Linked DNA regions of Callithrix jacchus. The protein of the gene in region 1 purifies or fractionates together with the protein of each later gene. This does not show direct contact. Links are inferred from orthologs where the notes say so. Each region holds a gene or a part of one and is shown in the gene's direction. Other genes may lie near its edges.

Evidence for each region. Proteins that work in one complex are often made in the same cells at the same time.
Region 2: the proteins of LSM4 (region 1) and PATL1 purify together in Homo sapiens (co-immunoprecipitation; 4 studies listed by BioGRID and IntAct, with this or other methods). This does not show direct contact. The link is inferred for Callithrix jacchus from reciprocal best matches to the Homo sapiens genes LSM4 and PATL1.

The regions. Positions count from the first base shown.
Region 1 is NC_133523.1:17,038,264-17,044,010, reverse strand, and holds the start of LSM4 (U6 snRNA-associated Sm-like protein LSm4), read left to right. Parts: upstream 1-2,377; 5' UTR 2,378-2,439; coding exon 2,440-2,442; intron 2,443-5,747. UniProt on the Homo sapiens protein: Plays a role in pre-mRNA splicing as component of the U4/U6-U5 tri-snRNP complex that is involved in spliceosome assembly, and as component of the precatalytic spliceosome (spliceosome B complex).
Region 2 is NC_133511.1:116,971,130-116,976,147, reverse strand, and holds part of PATL1 (protein PAT1 homolog 1), read left to right. Parts: intron 1-1,373; coding exon 1,374-1,463; intron 1,464-2,672; coding exon 2,673-2,853; intron 2,854-3,957; coding exon 3,958-4,081; intron 4,082-4,891; coding exon 4,892-4,989; intron 4,990-5,018. UniProt on the Homo sapiens protein: RNA-binding protein involved in deadenylation-dependent decapping of mRNAs, leading to the degradation of mRNAs. Acts as a scaffold protein that connects deadenylation and decapping machinery.

The DNA.
Region 1 (5,747 bases):
TTACTCCATTATGTGGTCGCATTGGGTTTCTTTCAGTCTTGATATTATAAATAATGTCAATAAATAGCATCAGTCATTAAAATATGGGCTGGGCGTAATCCCATATTACGTAATCCCACGCCAGTAATCCCAGCACTTTGGGAAGCCGAGGTGGGTGGATCACCTGAGGTCAGTAGTTCGAGGCCAGTCTGGCCAACATGGTGAAAGCCCGTCTCTTTTAAAAATAGAAAAATTAGCTGGGCATTGTGGCATGTGCCTGTAATCCTAGCTACTCGGGTGGCTGAGGCAGGAGAATCCCTTGAAACTGGAAGACAGGGGTTGCAGTGGGCCAGGATCGTGCCACTGCACTGCAGCCTGGGTGACAGAATGACTCCATCTCAAAAAAAAAAAAAGGATAGGATCTTTGCAGATGTAATTAAGGATCCTGAGATGGCATTATCCTGAATTTAGGGTGAGCTTAATAAGAGAAAGGAGTGTGCTTGTAAGAAAAAGGAATGGCTAGGCCGGGTGTGGTGATTCATGCCTGTAATACCAGCACTTTGGGAGGCTGAGGCAGGCGGATCGCCTGAGATTGGGAGTTTGAGACCAGCCTGGCCAACATGGAGAAACCCCGTCTCTACTGAATATACAAAAAATTAGCCGGGCTGGCGTAGCATGCCTATAATCCCAGCTACTCGGGAGGCTGAGACAGAATGGCTTGAACCCAGGAGGAGGAGGTTGCGGTGAGCCAAGATCACGCCATTGCAGTCCAGCCTGGGTAACAAGAGCAAAACTCTGTCTCAAAAAAAAAAAAAAGAAAGAAAAAGAAAAAGGAGCGGCTGGGCTCAGTGGCTCAGACCTGTAATCCCAGCATTTTGGGAAGCAGAGAGGAGGGAGGATGGCCTGACCCCAGGAGTCTGAGACTAGCTTGAACAAACATATGGAGACCCTGTCTGTCCCAAAAAAAGAAAAGAGAGAAACATTTGAGCCTGAGAGACACAGAGAAGGCCAAGTGAAGACAGGGGCAGACAGAAAGCAGAAGACTCCATGTATAAGTCAAGGAACTCCAAGGACTGGCAGCAGCCAGCAGAACCCAGGAAGAGGCACAGGACACACAGAGCCTCCGGAGCGAGCCAGCTCCACTGACAGCCTCAGTTCAGAATCTGGTCTCCTGAACTGTGAGAAAATCACGTTCTGTTGTTTTAAACCTCTCAGTTTGCAGGCGTTTGTTACAGCCCCAGGAAACAACAGCATTTGCCTATTTACTTTGTTTACTGTCTCCCTGAGAGCCACGAATTTTGTGTTTTGTTCATTTCTGTGAGCAGAAGCAGGCACAAAGTATATTGTTAAGTACTTAATATGCGCCAGACCTGTTTTTGTTTGTTTTGAGACAGAGTTTCGCTAGTTGCTCAGGCTGGAGTACAATGGCGTGATCCTTTGCCTCCTGGGTTCAGGCTGGAGTACAATGGCGTGATCCTTTGCCTCCTGGGTTCAAGCGATTCTGGGATTACACCACTGCCGGCTAATTTTATTTTTTTGTTTTTTGTTTTTTTTGAGACGGAGTTTCGCTCTTGTTACCCAGGCTGGAGTGCAATGGCCGATCTCGGCTCACGGCAACCTCCGTCTCCTGGGTTCAGGCAATTCTCCTGCCTCAGCCTCCCAAGTAGTTGAGATTACAGGCACGCGCCACCATGCCCAGCTAATTTTTTTTGTATTTTCAGTAGAGACGGGGTTTCACCTTGTTGACCAGGATGGTCTCGATCTCTTGACCTCGTGATCCACCCGCCTCGGTCTCCCAAAGTGCTGGGATTACAGGCGTGAGCCATCGCGCCCGATCGCCAGGCGCTGTTTTAAGTGCTTTTTACATAGTTTCACTCATTTCATCCTCACAGCAAGCAACCTTTTGGAGCAGACACTACTATTATAACCCATTTTACAGCAAACTGAGGCTCCGAGGGGCGTGGTCAGGATTCCAACCCACTAAATGATGTTCCTGGATAATTACAGAATTAGAAAACTAGGAGTCCGAAGGGCGACCTGAGGGACGTCCCAATCACCACGAGACCTCGCTGTCTCTAAGACTGCAAACGAAAGGCATTAACTGGCTTTGCCCACAGCGTGGAGCCCGAGACCGACGGCTTCACCTGCGCATGCGCTTACCCACAAAACACCCCGCGCCTGGGCGCGTTGCTCCGCCCCCTTTTGCATTACAAGTCGCGACACTTTACGGCTCTATTCCTCGTTCCTCCGGCGGGAACGCGGCCCGCCCGCCCCTTTCGCCCAGAGGGCCCCGCCGTGTTCCGCGTGGATTGGTTGGCCGCCCTTCGAGCCCAGTGCTGACTGGCTCGCGTGTCTGCCACTTTCTTTCAGCCTAGTGGCGCGCGGCGCTGCGACGACCGCCGGGAGCGTGTGCAGCGGCGGTGGCGGAAGTGGCCGGCGAGCCCGGTCCCCGCCGGCACCATGGTGAGGGCAGGGCAACGGCGGGGTCTCATCGGGAGGCGGGAGCCGCAGGCGTTGGGAGCCCTCCGGGCGGGCGCTGACGGTTGGGTTGGCGCGGGGTGAACGTAGAGTCAGAGCCTCGCGTTCCGTCTCCCGGCACGAGGCTGGGAAACTGAGGCTGGAGACTGCAGATGGCTCTAGGACGTCTGTGTCTGAGATTTAGGGTTGCACGGGCTTGTATCCGTAGTACAGCGGGCTCGCTTTACTTAGTTTTTCCCATTTTTTCCCCTCAGGTGGGGAAACTGAGGTCAAAAAAGGTGGGGGCCCGCCAAATGCAAGTTTTTGGGCAGGGAAGGGGCCCCGAACGCTTCGGGCCCGGTCAGACCTCCCAGATTGAAAATTAGAGTGCTGGGAAGTAGGGGGCCAGTCTGAGTTGTGAAACTTAGCTTTAGGAATTTCAGAGCTTGCAAGATGCATAAAATGCTCGCAGCACAGCGTCCTAGGCCTGTTGTTTTCTGTCTGAAAATCGGGCCTGGTGCTGGGGTGTGGTCTTTCTCCTTGGGTCACATAGCATGTCATTCCAGGGGAAGGGGGCATTTTGAGCAGGAGTGGATAAAGTGCATCCTCCCAATACACAGAAGGAAAAACTGAGGCCCAGGTCTCTGCAGGGCCAGATGTTTGTGATTATGGAAGTTCTGGATCTGGGCCAGAAAGTGCCCGTGTCCTCAATGTGCAGATCGGAAAACGAAGTCGGAGCTGGGAATTTCCTGGCCCATCAGCATCTGGCGCTTCTTTTTTCAGGGAGAGAAATCTAGGCCTTTGTTGGGGATGTGACTTCCAGACTCTGTGAGACAGTGGGAGATTTAGTAACCAGGAGGGACCCACAGGGGTGGCTGCATCAGAGCTGAGGATTAGTAAGAGATGCTCCCTAAATCCTGGGGTCAGTGTGTAACCACCCAGTGGGTTCACTTAGCCTGCTTCCTAGACAGAGCCGATTTATCAAGACAGGGGAATTGCAATGGAGAAAGCAATTCACACAGAGCCAGCTCTGCAGGAGACTGGAGTTTCACTCTTGTTGCCCAGGCTGGAGTGCAGTGGCACAATCTTGGCTCACTGCAACCTCTGCCTCCCGAGTTCAAGCTTTTCTCCTGCCTCAGCCTCCTGAGTAGCTGGGATTACAGGCGTCAACCACACCATGTCCGACCAATTTTTTTGTATTTTTAGTAGAGACAGGGTTTCACCATGTTGGCCAGGCTGGTCTGGAACTCCTGAACTCAGGTGATCCACCCACCTCAGCCTCCTGAAAGTTCTGGGATTACAGGGTGAGCCACTGTACCCAGCCTAGGGGATCCGAGTTTTTAAGATGATTTGGTCGGTAGGGGCTCAGGAAGTGGGGGGTGCTGATTGGCTGGAGCTTCCTGAGGTTGGAGATGGAGTCCTGAGGAGGTCGAAGTGAGATTTTCTTGCTGTCTTCTGTTCCTGGGTGGGATTCTGTCCGTGGGTGGGATTGCGGGACTGGTTGAGCCACATTACTCGTCTGGGTGGTGTCAGCGGATCCACCTAGTACAGGGTCTGCAAAAATATCTCAAGCACTGATCTTAGATTTTTATAATAGTGATGTTATCCCCAGGAGCAATTTGGGGAGGTTCAGACTCTTGAGCCAGAGGCTTCGTGACCCCTAAACGATAATTTCTAATCTTGCAGCTTGTCAGTCCTCCAAAGGCTGACTGGTCCCCAGGTAAGAAGAGGGTGTTTTCTGGAAAAAGCTATTACCAATCTTGTCTCAGAGTCAAACTATAGACTGAATTTCTTCCCAAGGTTAGTTCGGCCTATGCCCAGGAAAGAGCAAGGACAGCTTAAAGGTTACAAGCAAGATGGAGTTGCTTAGGTCTGATCTCTTTTTGCTGTCATAATTTCCTCAGGTACAGTTGTTGCGAAGGCGGTTTCAAGTGCAACAATTCAGAGAAGGGAGCCGGCCCCTCCTGCTGTGTCCCCGAGGGCAGAGTTGGAAGGGTCCATCCTGTGACAAGTTTTATGGAAGCAGGATCTTCATTTTTCTTCCCTCTATTATTCCCACTGTGTAGAACGGTGCGTGGGCAAAGTTAGAACTCATTCATTCAGCCCGTCCCCACCTTCTGAACATCCAGAGTCCCCAAGTCCTGGCTATCCAGGCGTTTCCTGGAGGAGTGGCCAAGAATGGACGAGGCGGGCCAGGTGGAGTGGCTCATGCCTGTAATCCTAGCACTTTGGGATGCCGAGGTGGGTGGATCACCTGAGGTCGGCCAACATGGAGACACCCCGTCTCTACTAAAAATACAAAATTAGCCTGGAGTGGTGGGATTACATGCTTGTAATCCCAGCTACTTGGGAGACTGAGGTAGGAGAATCACTTAAACCCAGGAGGTGGAGGTTGCAGTGAGCCTAGATTGTGCCACTGCACTCCAGCCTGGGCAACAAGAGTGAAACTCCGTCTCAGGGGAAAACAAAAAGAATGGACAAGGCCTCATGGGATACACACTTCCAGTTCCCTGTGGTCAGGGTAGGACTAGGAGTGACCTGGGTTAGCAGCCGGGGAGGGCAGTCCTGGAAAGCTTCTGGAATTAGGAGCCACTGGATTTAGTCCTCATGGGTCTAAACCTGAGAACCAGACTCCAGGTGTTCCAAGAAAGCGCAGAGAAAGGAATTCTCTTTTCTGAATTTTCTTGTGATCTTCCCTGAGCCAGGTGATGGGGCCGCTCCCATCACACTTGGCACTTTTTTCTTTTTCTATTTCATTTTATTTATTTTCTGAGACAGTCTCGCTCTGTTGCCCAGGCTGAAGTGCAGTGGCACAATCTCGGCTCACTGCAACCTCCACCTCCCTGAGAGCGATTCTCCTGCCTCAGCCTCCCAAGTAGCTGAGATTACAGGCACGTGCCACCACACCTGGATAATTTTTGTATTTTCAGTAGAGATGGGGTTTCACCATGTTGGCCAGGCTAGTCTTGAACCCCTGACCTCAGCCTCCCAAAGTGTTGGAATTGCAGGTGTGAGCCACTGTGCTCTGCCAACTTTTTTTTTATTTTCATTTTTTGAGCTGAGATCTCACTCTGTCGTCCAGGCTGGAGTGCAGTGGCACAATCACTGCAGCCTCAACCTCACTGGCTCAAGTGATCCTCCCACCTCAGCCTCCCAGAGTCCTGTGATTATAGCCACAAGTCACTGTGCCCAGCCGCACTTGGCCCTTTGATGTATCTTCTTTTAAGTTTTTAAGGATCCACCCCTTCTGACCTCATTCTTCAACAGGGTTTGGAGGTGAAGATGGAGGAGGAATCAGGACGTGTGGTCAC
Region 2 (5,018 bases), on another chromosome or scaffold:
CTAACTAATAAATTTTAAGATGTTATCAGATCCTCAAGTTAGCAAACACGGAAATGTTTGACAATCTCTCGGCTTTCTTGTGAATCAGATTTTCCTAACATTATCAGAGGGTATAGAACCGAGAGATAGATGCTAAAAAGTCAGATAATTTTCACACTAGCTAAGTTGTTTGCTTTTATCCTCTGATTTTATAACAACAGGGGTTCAAGTTCCTGTTTCAGTGAAGTTCTATTTTATTACATATCGTATTGTAGCAGTCAGGATTTTTCAAGAGAAACACGAGAACCAGTAGAAGAAAGACAGCAAAAATGTTCATGTGAGCAGGTTTTATTTTAAGAAATTGGCTCATGTGATTGTAGAGGCTGACAAGTTCGAAATCCATAGGACAGACCAGCAGGCAAGAAAAAGGTAAAAGCTCAAGTTGCAGTCTTGAGTTTGAAATAAGTACGGCAGGTCAGCAGTCAAGACACTCAAGCAGGACTTCTGTGTTCTAGTCCTGAGGCAGACTTCCTTCTTCTGGGAAACTTTAGTTTTGTTCTTTGGCCTTCAACTGACTAGATGAGGTCCACCCACATTATTAGGGGTAATCTCTTTTGTAAGGTAAACTGATTATAAATGTTAAACACATCTATACAAAATACCCTCACAGCAACATCTAAACAGTGTTTGACCAAATAACTGGGTATTAAGGCCTAGCCAAGTTGACATGCAATATTAACTATCGCACATGTATCTTTAATGACATTCCCACATAGTTGAAGCTGAGTACATTAAATCTACTTAGACTTCTGTTAAACAGTTACAAGCAAAAAAAAAAAAAAAAAAAATTCTGCTTTACTGCTAATTCACTCAGATTTCATGATCATCCTTTTAGAATTTGGTCTTTGTGGAAGATATGTAAAAATAGGACTATCTTTTGCTTCTAAAAGGTCTCCTTAGAATAGACTTTGTTTTTTTTTTTTTTTGAGACAGAGTCTCTCTCTGTCTCCCAGGCTGGAGTACAGTGATGCAAGCAATCTCAGCTCACTACAAACCTCTGCCTCTCAGGCTCAAGTGATTCTACTGCCTCAGCCTCCCAAGTAGCTGGGACTACAGGCAGCTGCTACCATGCCCAGCTAATTTTTGTATTTTTAGTAGAGATGTGGTTTCACCATGTTGGCCAGGCTGGTCTCAAACTCCTGACCTCAAGTATTCCACCTGCCTTGGCCTCTCAGAGTGCTGGGATTACAGACGTGAGCCACCGCAACTGGCCCAAATAGACTTTTGTAGTCCCTTAAGTTAACCTGTATGAAGTTATCCTGTACTGACACATTCTTTAAAATTTCAAATCATCGGGATGACAAAACTGAGAACCTCTTTTACGTTTTTCTTAGATCTCAGGCCCCAATGTTTAGACCGGACACAACTCACCTTCATCCACAGCACCGTCGACTCTTGCATCAGAGACAGCAACAGAATAGAAAGTAAGTGCTTGTCCAACTCCTTTATGGCTTCTTAATTCAGCTTTTAATTTTGACAGTATAGCAACATGCTATTTAGGTTTTTTTTTTATTAAGTTTGCTTCATATCCATAAACCTGTATATATTATCCACATGTATAAATATGAAAAGCTTAATATTGAGTAAAGAAGCAAGGATCAGAATTACACGTACCATTTATGTAAAACTAAAAGGGATACAGAATAATACTGTGTAATATTTAAAGACAGATACACAAGTAATAAAATTATAAAAACATTTCATGGAGGATACCTACCAAGGGCATAATAGTAGTTCCTCTATGAGGGAAGAGAAGCTGAAAACTGGGTCTGGAAGGGCACAACAGGAATCTAACTATTAATGTAACACTGTGTTATTTTAATATTACTTTAAAATATTTGAAACGAATTTGACCAGATACATTTTTTTTCTATTAGGTCTAGGTGATGGGTAAATGGATATTTATTTTAGTATTTTCTGGGCTTTTTGTCTGCATTTGAAATATTTAATGATTTTCAATGAGTTAAAAAAATTTATGTAGACTTCAGAGCCAAATCAGCCTGTGTTAAAATCCCTTAGTCCCCCACTAGCTGTATGGCTTTGGACAAGTTATTTGAGCTCTCTTGGCATCTGTCTGTTGTCTTAAGTAAGGAAGAGAAGACTCCCTACCTCACAGAGTTATTCTAGGGCTTATAAAAGTATCTTAGCATATGGTAAGATACTCAGATCTTAGATTTATTTCTTGATTATTTATTACGTAGCTCTTTCCTCTTAAATTCTATTAAGACTTGGTTCTTTTTCACTCCCCCTTTAAGAAAAGCAAAGGGGAATCTTTTTTTTTTTTTGGAGCCTTGCTCTTGTTGCTCAGGCTGGAGTGCAGTGGTATAGTCTCGGCTCACTGCAACCTCTGCCTCCTGATTACAGGTGGGTGCCCGGCTAATTTTTGTATTTTTAGTAGAGACAGGGTTTCACCATGTTGGCCAGGCTGGTCTCAAACTCCTGACCTCAAGTGATCTGCCCAACTTGGCCTCCCAAAGTGCTGGGATTACAGGTGTGAGCCACCGTGCCTGCCCAGGGAATCTTTTTTTTTTTTTTTTTTCAAAAAAAAAAGAAAGTGACCTGGTTTATTCATCTGTTGTTAAAAATCGTAATTAATTTGCCCACTTGGAGTGAATATGGTGTATGTTTTTCAGTCAGCATCGGAATCTCAATGGTGCAGGAGATAGAGGAAGTCACCGGAGCAGTCATCAAGATCATCTCCGAAAGGATCCATACGCCAATCTCATGTTGCAGAGGGAAAAGGATTGGGTCTCTAAAATCCAGATGATGCAACTGCAAAGCACTGATCCCTACCTGGATGATTTTTATTACCAGGTAAATACTCTGTGCTAGTTTTGTGGATAATAGTTTGGTCCCTTACACTAGTAAGGATACTCATTTAAATATTGGTACAATTAAATATTTGTAAAATTTTCTTTTGAGGTACTTAGTCTCTTGCGCTATTCACTACAGTTTACTTATATGCCTTTTACTTATATATAGAGGCTCTCAGACTAATATTTTCAAATCCCTTTTGGCATCAATAATATGTGTTTTTGGTTAGGGGTGGGATTGCGACAGGATCTCTGTTGCCAGGCTGGAGTGCAGTGGTCCAGTTTAACTCACCGCAGCCTCGAACTCTTGTTTGGGAGGCCCATTTCGGCAGATGACTTGAGGTCAGGAGTTCAAGACCAGCCTGGCCAACATGGGCTCAAACAGTTTTCCACCTCAGCCTCCTGAGTAGTTAGGACTATGGGTGTGTACCACCACACTAATTATTTTATTTTTATTTTTGTTTTTAGATAGGGTCTTCCTCTGTCACCCAGGTTGAAGTGCCATACTGCAGCCTCAACCTCCTGAACTCCCTGTGACCCTCCCGCGTCAGCCTCCCCAAAGGGCTGGGGAGGCCCGCACCATCATACCCCAGCTATTGTTTTTGGGTTTTGTAGACATGATGTCTCACTATGTTGCCCGAGCTGGTCTTGAACTCCTGGGTTAAAGTGATCCTCCCACCTCGGCCTCAAAGTACTAGAATTACAGTTGTGAGCCACCATGCCCAGCTCAATTTTTTTATTTTTTGTAGAGACAGGGTCTCACCATGTTGCCAGGGCTGGTCTCAAACTTCTGGCCTCAAGTGATCGTTTTGTCTCAGACTCCCAAAGGGCTGGGATTAGATGCTTGAGTCTCACCCAGCCTGTTTTTTCAATTAAGAATATTGGCAGTCTAAAGAAATTTCCATTGGTGTTAACTAACTTGAAGGCTGGGTTTTTGTTTTTGTTTTTTTGGGCTAAAGTAAATTTGTAGCAATCTAACAAAATTAGAGATCAGTATATTTCTAGAGTTGAACTTGTGTTACTGTCACTGGTATAAATTATTTAATGGTAAAGAACAGTCATGTTCTATGCTTGTGTTACATCTGAAATCATCTTCTCATGGTAGAATTACTTTGAAAAACTGGAGAAACTGTCAGCTGCTGAAGAAATACAAGGTGATGGCCCTAAAAAGGAGCGCACCAAGCTTATCACCCCTCAGGTGGCCAAACTGGAGCACGCCTATAAGCCAGGTAAGGTCCTCATAGGAAAAATGCCCATAATAAAAGAAATTTAAGAAGCTGCTGATATGATTAAATACAGATATTTGTATAAGTGGAAGGATGTATAAAGATGTTTCAAAGTGTTTTTAAAAGTACTGTTGTCCTTAATAAATACAAAAGTCAGCCTTTATTCAAGCCTGGAATGAATGATTTGACATGTGCCCTTTTAGGTCCTTTTCTACTTGAGATTTCATGATTTTTTAAATGTATTCTAATTTTCAGTACCCCTAAAAGAAGTAACAGGGAAATACTTTAGATTTTTATTGTGATAATTATTGAAGCAACAAAAAAAGAGCAAGAAAGGATAGATTTTAATAAGGGGTTGCTTTTGTCTTTTTTTTTTTTTTTCTTTTCTGTTTTTGAGAAAAGATTCTTACTCTGTCACCCTGGCAGGAGTGTATTGGCGCAATCTCAGCTAGCTGTAACCTCTGCCTCCCAGGCTCAAACGATCCTCATGTATCACCCTCCTGAGTAGCTGGGATTACAGGTGTGTGCCACCATATCCAGCTAATTTTTGTATTTTTAGTAGAGATGGGGTTTTGCCATGTTGGCCAGGCTGGTCTCAGATTCCTGGCCTCAAGTGATCCACCTGCTTCTGCCTCCCAAAGTGCTGGGATAACAGGTGTGAATCACCACACCTGGCCTAAATAATACATTGATTTTTGTTGTAAATTATTAGATTATGAATAAAGGACAGAGGAAAGTAAAGATCTTTGAACACTGCCTGTCTGCATTGCTGACTTTTTATTTTGTTGGAAATTTTTTTTTTTGTCTTTGCAGTACAATTTGAGGGCTCTTTGGGAAAGCTTACTGTTTCTAGTGTGAATAATCCCCGAAAAATGATTGATGCTGTTGTGACATCTCGGAGTGAGGATGATGTAAGTGTCAAACAATTGTCTGTTTAAGA